2 linked regions of the Macaca mulatta genome follow. Each later gene encodes a partner of the first gene's protein in a complex. Links are inferred from orthologs where the notes say so. Each region holds a gene or a part of one and is shown on either strand. Other genes may lie near its edges. The genes, in order: IL22RA2 and IL22.

The links.
Region 2: the proteins of IL22RA2 (region 1) and IL22 are in contact, whole or in part, in a crystal structure (PDB 3G9V), measured with the Homo sapiens proteins. The link is inferred for Macaca mulatta from reciprocal best matches to the Homo sapiens genes IL22RA2 and IL22. Residues at the interface, in NP_443194.1 of Homo sapiens: Lys65, Ile66, Tyr99, Gly100, Gln101, Arg102, Trp104, Gln128, Glu129, Pro130, Tyr132, Met148, Pro150, Arg151, Thr153, Trp155, Trp156, Glu157, Glu200, Pro246, Met247, Leu248, Asp249, Arg250; in NP_065386.1 of Homo sapiens: Phe47, Gln48, Pro50, Thr53, Asn54, Phe57, Met58, Lys61, Ser64, Leu65, Asp67, Asn69, Thr70, Asp71, Val72, Arg73, Leu74, Lys162, Gly165, Glu166, Asp168, Leu169, Met172, Arg175, Asn176.

The regions. Positions count from the first base shown.
Region 1 is NC_133409.1:42,251,590-42,259,202, reverse strand, and holds part of IL22RA2 (interleukin-22 receptor subunit alpha-2), read left to right. Parts: intron 1-1,769; coding exon 1,770-1,905; intron 1,906-5,097; coding exon 5,098-5,276; intron 5,277-7,613. UniProt on the Homo sapiens protein: Isoform 2 is a receptor for IL22. Binds to IL22, prevents interaction with the functional IL-22R complex and blocks the activity of IL22 (in vitro). May play an important role as an IL22 antagonist in the regulation of inflammatory responses.
Region 2 is NC_133416.1:75,369,440-75,377,630, reverse strand, and holds the start of IL22 (interleukin-22 precursor), read left to right. Parts: upstream 1-3,616; 5' UTR 3,617-3,639; intron 3,640-3,727; 5' UTR 3,728-3,773; coding exon 3,774-3,959; intron 3,960-4,403; coding exon 4,404-4,469; intron 4,470-4,585; coding exon 4,586-4,729; intron 4,730-5,658; coding exon 5,659-5,724; intron 5,725-8,191. UniProt on the Homo sapiens protein: Cytokine that plays a critical role in modulating tissue responses during inflammation. Plays an essential role in the regeneration of epithelial cells to maintain barrier function after injury and for the prevention of further tissue damage.

The sequences.
Region 1 (7,613 bases):
CAAAAATGAGAGAAGAAATCCATAGACAGAGAGATAAAGGGCATTAAGCCATCTATCTTCATGTTAGCAAATCAATTCTAGGCAGGCCTTCAGGAAATTGTGCCTATCATCTCCTGAAAACTCCTGGAATTTTTATGTTCTAAAGATGATTGATCAGGCAGTGATTTTTGTGAGCAAAATCAATTGTGGCTGTAGACTCTTTCCAAGAACACAACACCATTTGATGCACTGATGGTGGTCCAAACAATAAAAGCGAAAACAAATTAAAAAGCAAATAACAGTATTCACACTATTTGGTTGGTAAGAAGAAAGGCCTGAGGAAACAGTCTTGTTCATTTGAAAATAACAAATCTTGAAAGTTCAGAGCTGAGACCATGGGCTTGGGAATATTTTTTTAACCATCTCAATAATGTGATACAAATGAGCAAAGACTTGAAGGAGGTGGAGAAATGAACCATGTGAAATCCAGGGGAAGATAGACCAGGAAAAGGGAAGGGCCAGTGCAGAGGCCCTAAGGCAGAATCATCAGGGTCATGGTGGAGCAAGTGAAGGAGTCAACGCTGCAAACACAGGGGTCGGGGTGACAGAAGATGAGGTCAGGGAGAAAACAGAAGATATGCTCCCTGGCCGGGTGCAGTGGCTCACACCTGTAATCCCAGCACTTTGGGAGGCCGAGGCGGGCGGATCACTTGAGGTCAGCAGTTCAAGACCAGCCTGCCCATCATGGCGAAACCCCGTCTCTACTAAAAATACAAAAAAATTAGCCGGGCGTGGTAGTGGGCACCTGTAATCCCAGCTACTCGGGAGGCTGAGGCAGGAGAATCACTTGAATCTGGGGGGCAGAGGTTGCAGTGAGCTGAGATCGCGCCACTGCACTCCAGCCAGGGCGACGAGTGAAACTCTGTCTAAAAGAAAAAAAAAGATATGCTTCCTGACTCCTCCTCCTTCTGCCCAACTTCTTATCCCTTATAAGAAACCTTGAACCCTAAACAAAATTTTGCCAAAGTTCTCTTGCCTCCATGTGACTAAAGGCAAGTGAGGTTGTAGCACCTATGTTGCATGATTCGAGGAAGAAAGCACAAGTCATGCCAGTGCAAAATTATCCCATCCCCTGCCATGATTAGTCTCAGAAACACTGGCCCCCCAGCAGGGTCTTGGTCTGTTTTCCTCATTAGCATGGCCATTTCATCTGAGGGATTATGCCTGGATACTTGGAGCCAGGATGTAGGCAGGTAAATGCAGCCATTCAGGAGTGGGACAGCAAAGGCAGACCTACTTGGAAGCAGGACCCAGCGATTGAGCAAGAACCTGTGAAAGGAGGGACTGAGTTCTGGGCTGAGATCCTGGAGCCAGAATTGGTCCCTAGCAAATTTTGCTTGAGTAGTACCAATATAGTGGTTCCTAAGAAGATGGTTGTTGGTCTCAGTGTGGGTCCTTCATCTCAGTCATTATATTCCATTGCTATTTGGGGATAAAATAATAGCAATATTTTTTTACTACAATTTACTTCCCCTACAGCCTGGGAAATAGGGTGGGAAGATAGCATGTACATGTTTATGATCTGGAACTCATCATTCTGAGACTTTAGCGTGTATCAAAATCATTGCATTGAAGATTCAAAATGTTGATTTCTGGGCTCCACCTCTACTATCTGCACATAGAGCAACTACTTTAGGGAATCCTGATGCAGGTATTCCATTGAAAACTACTGCTGGGAACAACAGTGCTCCTAGCAACGTTCAATGTTCTTCCTTCTCTTATTATCTTAGGAACTCAGCCAGCACATGAGTCTCTGAAGCCTCAGAGGGTACAATTTCAGTCCCGAAATTTTCACAACATTTTGCAATGGCAGCCTGGGAGGGCACTTACTGGCAACAGCAGTGTCTATTTTGTGCAGTACAAAATGTAAGTAAATTGAGCCTCCTTCAGCTGACAGAGATGGCACTGGGATAACATGTTCTAGAATGCAATGGAGTGTTAGGATCTGAGCTTTTTCTCCATTTCAGAGGGGTTGAGAAGAAGCCAAGGTCAGGATAGCAGTGACTTGTCTCCCCTGAAGGCTGCCTGGGGACTCAAAATGCATGATGGTATGCAGTGCATTGGGCAGATACTTCAGCCCTAGACCTGCACCAAGACCTCACAGGCTCAGCCTTCACCTCCATAGTGGAGCCTGGCACATGGTGGATTCTCAATACAAGTTTGTCAAGCGAATGTTGGAAGCAACTTATTTAGCACATAACAAATACTCAGTGAATGAAACTATTGATAGTTGAAAAAGAAGTTGTGGCAAACATGGAGGTGATGTGTAAAATAAGTTTTTAATCTAAAAGTCACTTTCAGAGTGGATTTACTATTTAGAAAATTCTGTTCAAAAACTAATGAGTCTCGTAAGCATGAACACAAACTGGAACACGCTGCTGCATGTTCCTCTCGTGTGATACTCAGGCTACTCCTACTGGATCATTGCCAAAACTCAGATATAATCTACACCTTTCCTGGCTCAAGGCTTGGAAACAAACACTCCTGATTTGAAAATGTCAGGTTTTTCCACTCATATATTTTTGGGGGGCAAGGGGAGTTGAGGCTCAATCCTGTCTCCTGACAGTGAGACAGGAGATATTACAGTTTAACTTTCATGGTTTTTCACTAGAAATTCAGAAAATCAAATGCAGCTATGGCCAAAATAGCAATTTTTATCCCATAAATTCATCCATGTCTCTCCAGCATGGGGTAGGTCCTAGGTCAGATTTTCCCTCTAATTAATTTCAGAATGAATATCCCCAGAAGCATCTCCATCTTTAACCACTACTACTTCTCTCTACATATCTTATGTAACAATTGTAAAATTTGCAAATCTTTACAATGATCGTTTCTTCATTACAAAAGTAGATTTGTGCATAGCTGGAGATACTTTCAGCATGTAGGAAGTAAAGATTGGTACTATTTTTATACTTCTCCTTGAGCAGTATAAATAGGTCAAAAGTGAACCTATTTGTAGACCAAAGTACTAAGAAGATTAGAAACTGTTTTACCATGCATCTAATGAAGATTAAACTTCAGGACCTCATGCAAGGATTTTATATTTATAAATCTTTCCTTAAAGAGGACTCCCAAGCTGCTATGGTTTGAGTTTGTCTCCACCAAAATTCATGTTGAAATTTGATCCCTAGTGTGGTGATGTTGGAAGTGGGGCCTCCGAGGAGGTGTTTGGATCATGGGGATGGAGTGCTCATGAATGGCTTGGTACCATCATTGCTGCAGTTGAGTGAGTTCTCACTCTTGCCAGACTGAATTTGTCATGGAAATGTTTCTATCAGAGTGGTCGTTGTAAAGCCAGGATGCCCCTTGAGTTTGGTCTCTTCACGCGATCTGTTTTCCCCATGGACCTTCTCCAGCATGTTCTTATGCAACATGAAAAGCTCTCACCAGAAGCCAAGTGGATGCTGGCAGCACACTTCTTGTAACTTCCCAGGCTGCAGAACATGGGCTAAATAAACCTCTTTTCCTTATCAATTAGCTAGCCTCACGTGTTCTGTTATAGAAACACTAAATGGATTAAAAAGATTATATAAATTTCAGACCCCAGAATACCTGAATCCATTCCTGTCTCTAAGGGATTTTCAACAGCACAGGACAAATTTATAATTTTGCAAACTTTCACTTTGGTGTATCCAGTTCATGGACTATAGTACTGTTATATCCCTCACATTTAGAATGGGATAAACAATGAGATATTATGTTAAAAGAGAAGTCAGTCATTACAGCTAAGTTAAAGACTTATTATAAATAAATAATAATTTTAAAACATCAAAGTATACTCAATACATGTTGTGGTACTGCTTTAATTGTGATAGAATGAAATTGCTATCACCATGTAGATTACTGAGTACAGATACTGTCAACCTTCCTTATTATGTGTCTAGAAAGTTAGATTTCAAGTCTTTCAATAAATAATTTGGGAAACTTTTCTCCCCAGACTCCAATTCCTTCTCTGTTCCCCACCATCACTTTGTTGCATTGGTCTGATTTATGGCAGGTAAGGAAACAAAGCGTGAATCTTCCCTTTGACTATTACACCATCCTGTGGCCTCAGGCTGAGTCAACCTCTCTGCCTCTTGCCTCACTACCTTTTTTCATGGGTTTCACTCCCCCTCTCCCAACCTCTAATTACAGGGCTCCATATATAGTCCTCACTAAAACTTCCCGTCAATTTTCAATAAAGAGATTAATCATGTATGTTGGGTAAGCAGCACCTGAGATGAAAAGTGGTAGCAACTTCTCAGAAGCAGCCACATTACTCAATAGCGAGCTGATGAGAAGTGATGAAAAACCACAAACACTCAAAACCACAGAGCATTAAGGATGTGGAGAGTGAGTATTCAAAAATGGAAGTCAGTCCTCACACCTGAAAGAACATTATGCCAACTATTAAAAAATAAGTTAAAACCCTTATGTTAGTGATACAGAAAGTGTCAGGGATGTTTATCTTCCAGCAAGACAGCACTTCAGGTAATGCTGTGGCTTCTATGTGTCCCCCAAAAGCTCATGTGTTGGAAACTTGATCCTAATGCAGCAATGTTGAGAGGTGGGACTTTGGGGAGATGATTGGGTCATGAGGATTCTGCCCCCATGAATGGATTCATCCATTGATGGATTAACGAATTAAAGTGTTATTGAGGAAGTGGGCTAGTTATAAGAAAAGTTGGTCTGTTTTTTATATATATATGTAAAAGCCATGTCTCTTGAATGCCTATGACATCCTCTGCCACCTTAAATCTCTGCAGAGAGTCCCCACCAGCAAGAAGGCCCTCACCAGATGTGGCTCTTAGACATTAGACTTCCTAGCCTCCAAAACTGTAAGAAGTAAATTCCTTTTCTTTATAAATTACCCAGTCTCGGGTATTCAGTTACAGCAACAGAAAATGGACTTAGACAGTTAATAAGAAGGAATTTTTTTAAAGCTTCTGAAAAGTAGCCATAAGCTATCATGGTGATATTGATACTAGAATCAGGTATAAAGAATTATCAGTCTGAAAATATTGAAGACTCCTTGAGTGGAGAAAAGAAACTCAGATCTTTGCCTTTTCCCCGCTACAGATATGGACAGAGACAATGGAAAAATAAAGAAGACTGTTGGGGTACTCAAGAACTCTTTTGTGACCTTACCAGTGAAACCTCAGACATACAGGAGCCTTATTACGGGAGGGTGAGGGCGGCCTCGGCTGGGAGCTACTCAGACTGGAGCATGACGCCGCGGTTCACTCCCTGGTGGGAAAGTGAGTTCCATGGAGTTTCTTTGCCCTTGTTCTTCCTGCTTTTGGACAGCCCTCCCAGAGCACGGCTAGTGACCAGGCCTTGTGCTTTGCTGAAGGCTCTACATAGTTATCTCATTTGGTCTAATTATCAGAACAACTCTAGGAGATAGCTTTTATTATCCTAATTTTCTAGCCCAGAACATCAAGATGTAGAGGCTTTAGTCATTGGTCCAGTCTCATGACCTGTATTATACAAGTCAGGGTTCACATTTACTGCATCTGACTGAAGAGCCTGTGTGTGTGTGTGTGTGTGTGTGTGTGTGTGTGTGTGTGTGTGTGAGAGAGAGAGAGACAGGGTCTTGCTTTGTCACCCAGGCTGGAGTACAGTGGCACGATCTTGGGTCACTGCAACCTCTGCCTCCCGGGTTCAAGCGATTCTCCAACCTCAGTTTCCCAAGTAGCTAGGATTACAAGCGTGTGCCACTATCCCTGGCTAATTTTTGTATTTTTAGTAGAGACGAGGTTTCACCATGTTGGCCAAGCTGGTCTCAAACTCCTGACCTTAGGTGATCTGCCCCCCTTGGCCTCCCAAAGTGCTGGGATTATGGGTGTGACTCACCATGCCCAGCCCTCCAAAAAGTATTTTTAGACAGCAGAATTTGTCATAGTGCCCTAGTCCTTCCCCAAACATGAGGGTTAAGTTCATGAAAATAGAAGAATTTTCTGTTAAGGAAATTAGACTTTTAGTCTCACCTCCCCAAAAAGGCAGACCAAAAGTGCTTTCTCAGTATCCATCCTGAATGATATTTATTCCTCTTTTAGTTTAGTCACAATCATAGAATAATATAATCTAAGATATAGGTGATAAAATGAACCATTACCAACAGACATTGGCTAAAATAGTAGGGAAAAGAAAGAGAGAGAGAGAAGGGGTTTAATGTATAGATATAAAGATGTGCATAAATAGAACAAGAAAGAAAATAAAGATATTTACCACAGTCCTCATAATTGCAACTAATCATGAAGCTGTAGTTAATATTTATGACTTCTTCCCTCATTATAAACTCAACATTCATCTTCTTTTCAGCCAGCACTTCAGCTTTTTATCCATGAGGAGTTTCAGTCCTTTTGGTGTTTCCTATCTCAGCTTGACCTAACCTTACATTATTTTTTATTGCTGAATAGAGAAGGTCTAAGAGGCACACTTGAGGCTACCAAGAATTCTTCCACCTGACCCCAATGTATTTATTACTGTATTATGCCTTGAAAATCAGAATGAATCACCCCAGACAATATAAGAACCTCATTTTCTTTTTGTTAGCTAAATGGCACAAGGAGCTCCAAATGGTCAGGAGAGAGCCTCAACTTCCAATTTTTGGAAACCATTTTTGTTATAAACCAGAAGAATTCAAGGCCAAGCATATGGGAAACAAAAACATGTCATCATGTCATGAGTTGTTCTCTATGGATAACAGTCAGAGTTGCCCCTCTCACTTCCACTTCTTGTATCCTAGACCAGTGAATTCTGTCTATGGAAGAAATAGCACCATATATTGGCCCCAGGCTTAGTGAAGCATTTACCAATTGGAGCGTTTACCAATTCATATGCCAATTCACAAGACATCTCTCAAACTGAGTTTTCAATTATCCATTTCACCTTCCTATAAAGTCATGGATTTCTGAGTGACAAATATATGATATATATTTGTCCTGTGGGTCTTGAGACCTTACTTCACTCTTTTCACATTAACTTAAGTTCTTTGTCATAAGCAATATATTGTGGAGTACTATGCTCATGAATAAGGCATTGACTACATCTATGGGTGTATGTGTGGTCCCAGGAGTGATGAGGGGTCTGCTGATAAAAGCATTGAAGCAGTAAATAAAAATCTATAAACAGAATCTGTAACCAGAATCTATACCCAGCAGTAAAGAAAAACTATAACCAGTGTCTCTTGCCCCCTCCGTTTTGGAAGGGAACAAAAAAAAACCTACCTGCAACGAGATGGAAGATGAGAGCCCCTGGAATATAGCACTATACTAGGGGTTCAACATTGATCTTCCTTCCTGGAAAGGAAGATCACTCTGCAGTGATACTCTGAAGGTCAGACCAAATTTGGTAAGAGGAGATCCATATTGTTAAGTCTATATATATCCTCCATCATGTAACTATTTTGTTCAAGAGTCCATAGAGCAACTATAGGACACTGGGGAAATAGATTGTCACTGCATCCACTTAGATTTTTTAAAACAGCCTTATTGAGGTATAATTCACACAGCTTATACTTTAAGCATATAGCATACAGTTTAATGGTTTTTACTATATTCACAAATATGTACCACCATCATTCATGGTCA
Region 2 (8,191 bases), on another chromosome or scaffold:
GAGACAGCCAAAGCCTGCTTGTGGTTGAGGATTCTGATTAGTCCTTCTTGGCATTAGATCAAGTAAATTGTCACATATTCCAAATCAACCATGTGTATGGTCTGTCTGGGACCTGGGAGGTGGGCATTGGGGTTGCTCTTCATCTGCAGTGGCTTTGGGAGAGACTTGAAAATTCACAAGGAAATGACTGCAGAAAAGGCCCATTATAATCTGAAAATATTTAGCATACATATGTCTTTGGTTGTTGTTTTCACAGGAGCACCTTTTTGTTATATCCACAATCTCTTCTTTTTTTTTTTTTTTTTTTTTTTGAGACAGAATCTTGCTTCGTTACCCAGATTATAGCGCAGTGGGGCGATCTTGTCTCACTGCAACCTCAGTCTCCCGGGTTCAAGCGATTCTCCCACCTCAACCTCCAGAGTAGCTGGGACTACAGGCGCACCAACATGCCCGGCTAATTTTTGTATTTTCAGTAGAAACAGGGTTTCACCATGTTGACCAGACTGGTCTCAAACTCCTGACCTCAGGAGATCTGCCCGCCTCAGCCTCCCAAAGTGCTGGGATTACAGGCAGGAGCCCCGCGCCCAGCCTCACAATCTCTTCTAACAGCAAATATTTCTGAGACTCCTAGTATGACTGTTCAGAAACCCCCATACAACACCAGAGCAGATTTTCCCTTTAGTGAGTTTTAGTTAAACTCACTGAAACTTAAGATCTAGGCTCCATTAACACTATCTTATTGATGCTTGGTCCATCAGGGACATACAATGAATAAGAGGCACGCTGCTGCTCTTAAAGATGGCTTTGCAATTTTCTGGCATTCTCTTTCTGTTTCACAGTGATTTATTTTCCATTCAGGAACAATAAGCTGGTAAGCAGGACTGGGTCAAACACCAACTTTAGAAATATCATGAAGGCAGTCAATATGCTTATATTGAGTCCTTCCTATGTGTGTAGCACTGTTCTAAGTGTTGGAGTTACAAAGACGAAAGACACAGAGACTCTTCCCTTGAAATCACGTAATTCAACAATGTCAAAACTTATTTTCCCATGGAAACAAAATTATGTATGCTGGTCAGTTTCCCAGGCAAACCAACAAAAGCCTATTTAATCCATGAATAGCTTAAATCTAATGCTAATAGAATTGTACAGAGTTCTGGGCAAAAGTGGCCCTATATAATAGGAAATTGAATAAGGAAGGTTTCATCATCTTTTCTCGGGCTCATGGTCAACCCAAGGAAACATTTGGAACATACCTATTTTTTTTTCAATTTAACAAAAGTTATCTCATTTTTATTTGACAAATAAGAATTGTATATACAGTATTTATGTTACACAATATGATGTTTTAAAAATTACTTATTTTTTAAATTGACATTATCATTGTACATATTTATGGAGTATATTTTGATATTTTGATATAAGTGTATGCTGTATAATGACACAATTAGGTTAGTATATCCATCACCTCATGCATTTATCATTACTTTGTGGTGAGAATCTTCAAAAGCTATTTTGAAAAATACGATATTTTCCTGTTAAATATAGTCATTCTACTGTGTAATAGAACACCGAAATTATTCCTCCTAATTGTGTCTTTGTACCCGTTGACCAACCTCTCCCCATCCCGCTTTCCCCACTTACTTCCCCAGTCTCTGGTAACCACTGTTATATTCTCTGCTTCTATATCAGCTTTTTTTTTTTTTTTTAGATTCCACATATGAGTGAGATAATGCAGTATTTGTTTTTCTGCATCTGATTTATTTCACTTAACATGATGTCCTTCAGGTTCATCCATGTTATTGCAAATGACAGGATTTCATTTCTTTTATGGCTTAATACTATTCCATTGTGTATATATACCACATTTTCTTTATCCATTCATCCATCTGTGGATACTTAGGTTGATTTCATGTATGTTTTGATATATGCATATATTGTGGAATGGCTAAAGTGAGCGAATTAACATATATGCATTACCTCACACGGAATTTTTTTTTTTTTTTTGGTAATGAGAACATTTACAATCTATGCTCTTTGTGATTTTTAAGCATAACATATATTGTTCTTAACTATTGTTGCCACGATGGACAATAGAGCTCTTCAACTTATTCCTCTTCTTTAACTGAAATGTTGTATCCTTTGGGTAACATCTCCCCAACTCGCTGCCCCTTGCCCACCCAGCCCCTGGCAACCACCATTCTACTCTTTCTTTCTATGAGTTCAAGTGTTTTAGATTCCACATGCAAGTGTGATCATGTGGTGTTATTTACTCCCACTAATCTTCCTTTTTGCTTCTTTCTCCTCTGGCCACCTTCACAAATGCTCAGTGTCCTCAGGTGGTTCCAACTCTTCCCAGTGGCACTTTGCTGAGGTCTGTGCCATCTCAAAAAGTGGTCTAGGTTTTACAATTATTTACGTCCCTTCTCCCAGTTCTTCAACACTCCTGATCTTAACTAGTTGTGAGGAGAAAAATCTGATCATACAAATTTGCACTAATTCACATTCCTTCCCTCAGCAATAGGTACTTGCATTTTGATAGTTGCACTTGCTTCCTTCTCTTGCTCTGCGGGAGAATTTCCAGTCTAGTTTTAGGTGTATTTTTAAATAATTTAAAGGTAATGTGGAACCTCTATATTCCTATATTCCCTTCCTCAGACATCCATGTATGTGTGCATATATATGTGTGTGTATATATAGTATATATATACATATATATTGTGTATATACACACATATATGTGTATATGCAATATATACACATACAATATATACATATATACACACATATATAATTGTTATAAGGTTATTTGGAAATATTATGTTGAGACCTGTGTGAAGTTTAGAATTAGGTAAAATTTTAACTATATCCATGGTATTCTTTTCTTTTAAACAAAGTTTACATGTTAAGAAAAATGGTGATCAGATTGTTCAGCATTAGCATTTACAAACTTAAGTGGACATTGATTATAATTCAATTAATACAATTTTAAGATACACTTGCTTCTGCCTTGTTAGGATCACTTAAAAATAGTCCCAGAAAGGGAAGAAAACAATAAGTAGATTAGCCAAGACTGTTATTTTTGAAACAGAAGTCTGGTTTAGAATTCAGCATTTTAAAAAGGAGATAAAATTATTTTAATAATGGAATGATCTGTAAGCTGTCATTACCATTTACTTTAAAGCAGAGGATATAGGACACGGGTCCTTTTCTTCTGATCACCTCCAATGAGATAAGAATCTATAAAGCGGGTAGGAAAATGAGTCCGTGACCAAAATGCTTACTCAGCCACTATAGGAGATCAAAAAATTTTATACTAAATCTGAACTCTACTAAGACAAAACAATTGTTTTCTTTGAAAAATATGTAGGGTTTAGAAAATTTCTGGGATTTGTCTGTAAAATACCCCCTGGGCTCTAATAGTGACGTTTTAGGGAAACACTTACATCTCAAGGTGGGAAGAATAGAGGTGGTGTTTTGTGGGCTCCTGTGGTGGTTAGGTCGTTCTCAGAAGACAGTACTGGAAATTAGATAATTGCTGATGTCACATTTTGCACAATTAAAAAAAAGTCGGTATCCTGGGGGCTATAAAAGCAGCCGCTTCTACCTTCCCCATCACAAGCAGAATCTTCAGAACAGGTAAGCGTTTCGGCAAACTTGGTACAATTGGTTAGTTTGATGAAATACTTCTTGACTAATTCTGTTCCTTCACGTTGTTTTCGACCAGGTTCTCCGTCCCCAGTCACCAATTGCTCGAGTAAGAGTTGTCTGCAATGGCCGCCCTGCAGAAATCTGTGAGCCCTTTCCTTATGGGGACTCTGGCCACCAGCTGCCTCCTTCTCTTGGCCCTCTGGGTGCAGGGAGGAGCAGCTGCACCCGTCAGCTCCCACTGCAGGCTTGACAAGTCCAACTTCCAGCAGCCCTATATCACCAACCGCACCTTCATGCTGGCTAAGGAGGTATGCATCTCAATGCTGCGCTTTCTCATTGGATCTACTTGGAACCCAAATAGTTCTTGCACTTTTCTTCAGAGCACCTCTAAGAGCTTTAGGAACCCATTGTTTATCCCTGCTGGCAGATAAATTTTCTGTTTTTTCAGAGACTCTTTGGGAATCTGGCCGTTTTTTTTTTGACTTGAACTCCTTCCTTCCATTTTGGTCTTTATGATACATGTGATGAATTTTCCCATTCATGTTTTAAACTCGGCCATTCAGTAACCCATCTGATGATTTTTTTTTTCCTTTATGCCTTTGTGTGTTGTCCTAAACTTATGCACACATCTGAATTCTGTTTCTAGTCTTTATGGGGTTGCTCTGGGGAGAGGGGATGGGGCACATGTCTACGTACAGATTTTTTTTCTATCTGCTCAATGTCCAGGCACTTACTCTTTTCTTCTCTTCCAGGCTAGCTCGGCTGATAACAACACAGACGTTCGTCTCATTGGGGAAAAACTGTTCCGCGGAGTCAGTGTAAGCTACAGTTGTGACGAACAGGGCCGTGTGCCGTCCATGGGTACTTGGATTGGTGGTAATGATGATTTAGGACTTATCCCTTATGACCCTTGCTGTTTCCCTTCCACCTGTAGATGAGTGAGCGCTGCTATCTGATGAAGCAGGTGCTGAACTTCACCCTTGAAGAAGTGCTGCTCCCTCAATCGGATAGGTTCCAGCCTTATATGCAGGAGGTGGTGCCCTTCCTGGCCAGGCTCAGCAACAGTCTAAGCACATGTGTAAGTTCAGCTCTCAGCCTATGCCCATCTACCCCTCCTTCCCTCCTTCTTCCACAGAGACCCCCTTACCCCGATTCTCTCTTCTCCCCTCTACCCCTAAGCTAGCAGGAAGAAGCGTCTTGGCAGCAGTATTATCAGGAGTCATTTAGGATCACAGAGTGTTTGTTTTTGCTTTTGATTGAGTCACATCTTGAGTTTATAGTGGTGAAGGGGGTCTGGAACTTAAGTGTATAGAAGCCGCATTGGTTTGTCTCTGGAAAAAAGGCAACTCAGTTTGTGTAAGGTGAGAAAGGTGTTGGGAAAAACATCTAGATGTGGAAATGGATCCACTGAGTCTAAGTTGTTGAGGGGAGGGGATGGCATGGAGAGAAAGTAGAAGACAAAGTGGGAAATGGGAAGGCTTAGTGTCAGCGGTGTGTCGGCAGACTGTTGCCCTGCTGATGTCATGGGAAGTGACAAAATCGGAGGCGTGTGAACTTGATGCCGCTGAACATATGAAACTACAAAAAAAAGTTTGAGTGTAGTGGGCCCAGTCAAAGGCCCTAGGACTTACTGAAGAGGGCTTAATTTTCACATGAGATGTTTTATGTACATTTCTTGTTCTGAGCATGCTGTTTTGTGGAGGTATGATTGAGGTTTTATTCCTTACAGAATTTGCATAAACCACTCCGCTGTTTCCACAAACGCAAACCTCAGTAGGATTTCCCAAAGATGAAGAGAGGTCTCTTGTAAGGGAAGTGACTGGAGTCTGGTGTCCAAGGGAATTCAAGAGCTCAGGAAATCTAGGTCACCGTTGAAATCTAGGTCATTGTGGGCAAAATTACTAAGAGTTTTAATTCCAGGTGAATTGTACCGTACCTCCACGGGTGTGGAGGTTCGTGAAGTTTCAGCACAACATTAAGATAGTTATTCTTGTTTTTGTTTTATAGCACATTGAAGGTGATGACCTGCATATCCAGAAGAATGTCCAAAAGCTGAAGGACACAGTGAAAAAGGTAGGACTGATAACTGTCAATGCTAAGTCATGCAATAGGAGAGACAAATGCTGTTTTTCTTTCCTTTCTTTCTTCCCACCACTTTGTGATTTTTCACTTGATTCTCCTACCACCAGGGTGATTACTTTGGTGTCTGTGTCTGCAGAGATATCTCTATATCTAGAAGTCAGTTTCCAAATTTTGCAAATTGTAGAATTCTAGAACCGGCTGGAATCTTAGGTTGTCCAGTCACATTACCTCACCTTCTGGGGAAGGCAAGTGGCAGAGACAGGGCTGAATACAGGTCTCCCGAATCCCAAGCTAACACTTTTCCCGGCAGTGATACAGATTAGTTTCATTAATTCTTAGGGAAATTTCAGATTCCTATTGACTCATGTAATCTGAAGAAGCACTTGTTTAAAAACAGAAAAGTGCCTATGGGCAAATTTATTTGAAGTCATTTTTGAAGGCATTCATGCATTGCTTTGAAACTTGGAGGAATAAACTCAGAACAACAATAAAAGAGCTGGACTTGCATATAGGGCTAATTTCTGGAGTAATCGATGCTTATTTTTAATTATCATAATATCTAACAACTATTGATTTTAGTTTAAAATCAAGAGCAGATAACACCTGATCTCTTTTATACAAGTTCAAATAGACTAAAAATGTTAGTAAGAGATTTATTATAGTTAAATGGAAGTCTGAATTGGTAAGCCTTTTTTTCTTCCTCTCTCCCTTCAAGACCTTCCATTCTAGTTTCTTCCTTCATTCCCTCAATAAACCCCTAGTGAGCATTTATCCACGGTGGGCTGGTGTACATTTCTATAGTGAATGATACCATCATGTGCCCTATTTGGTGAAAAGAACAACAATGGAAGACTTAGACTAACAATAGTGACTCACCCCAAAACCAGAGGAATGATTAGGAGCAGTGAAAGTGATGTTCTTACAAGCAGGTCCAAGTAAATACTCAGAAACATGAAGGCTCCAGTTGATGGAATTTTCAGTAAGAAGCTTAACCTTAATTCCCCCTTTTTTCCTCTTGACTTTTTAAAAAAGCATTTCTTCCTGAGCATCATTTAATGAACATGACTGTTTCTTCCTTTGATAATTGAAGGCTTTGTAGTTTTATATTGTGAAGCTCAGTTCTCTTGTTATGGAACTATTATCTAGACATGGAGGGCTGAATGTTAGCATGTCACAGACAAGACGTGCTTTACACATCTTGCTTAAAAAATTCCTGATTTCAGCTTGCTTGTTGTCTTTAGAAAAGTGAAGTGTGAGAGAGGAAAATCTCATGGTGATCTGGGTGATTTTCAAGGCCTTTAATCCATTTTGAAAGAATCAATTTCCTATTTTCAATGATTTGCCACATGGAAGAGTGATTATGCTTTTTTGCTGGTACCTTCAGAAAGTACAGGCGGGAGAGGAATGTTGTTCAGAGAAAGATCAACAGGAGGAGAAACTGCCAGAGCTGTCTGAAATAGGGTGGTCTCGGGAGGCATTAATTCCCTCTCGCTGGGGGTAAAAGCAGAGCACAGGCTGGTAGTAAAATGCATGACAGACAGTAGGGGAAGATAAACTTTAAAATTCTTTACAGTCTTGGAGTCTTTGAGATAGAAAAGCATATCTTTTTGGCTTTATGTCAAAAGAAGTATGGAAAGGTGAAAGGGCGGAAGAAAGCAGGAAAAGAAAGAACAATGTACTGTATAGAGGATAATGGTGACAAGGTTTTTCTTGAAATAATGCAAATATGATAGATTAGAGGAATTTCAATAGGGAATGCTTTTCACTTGAATTTGGGTTTCCTCTTCCATTAAGTTTGGGAGCCTCATCTGCATTTGACTTGGAGGGAGAAAGAATGAATGTTAGGACCTGTATCTGGTTTTCTATTAACTAAAGCAAGTGGAAAAGACTTATTTGACATTTTTCCCACAAAAGTGAAAACTTGTCTTTTACTCTTTGTCAAAATGGTGGAAACAGAAAAAAACTCAATGTATTGGTAAATATATGGTTTGAAGTCTTCCGAGCTGAGATGTTTTAAATCAGGAGTGTCCAATCATTTGGCTTCCCTGGGCCACCTTGAAAGAATTGTCTTGGGACACACATAAAATCCACTAACACTAACAATAGCTGATGAGCTAAAAAAAAAAAAAAAAAAAAAAAAAAAAAAAAAAAAAAAAGGTCCATGCATAAATCTCATAATGTTTTTAGAAAGTTTATGAATTTGTGCTACGGTGCATTCAAAGCTGTCCTCGGCCACGTGCAGCCCGTGGGTTGTGGGTTGGACAAGCTCTTTATAAGCCATCTGTCATAGATAGTTTTGGAGTTGCAAAACAGGCCAAGGCATAATGGGTGGCACTCAGGATCCCCCAGACCCCAGCCTCACTTCAGTCTGCTTGCTCTGGTTAAGAAGGGGTGGTCAACCCTCTGCCCAGCTTTTAAACAGCTTCATTAGTGTGAGGTGCACCTGAAATTGATGCCT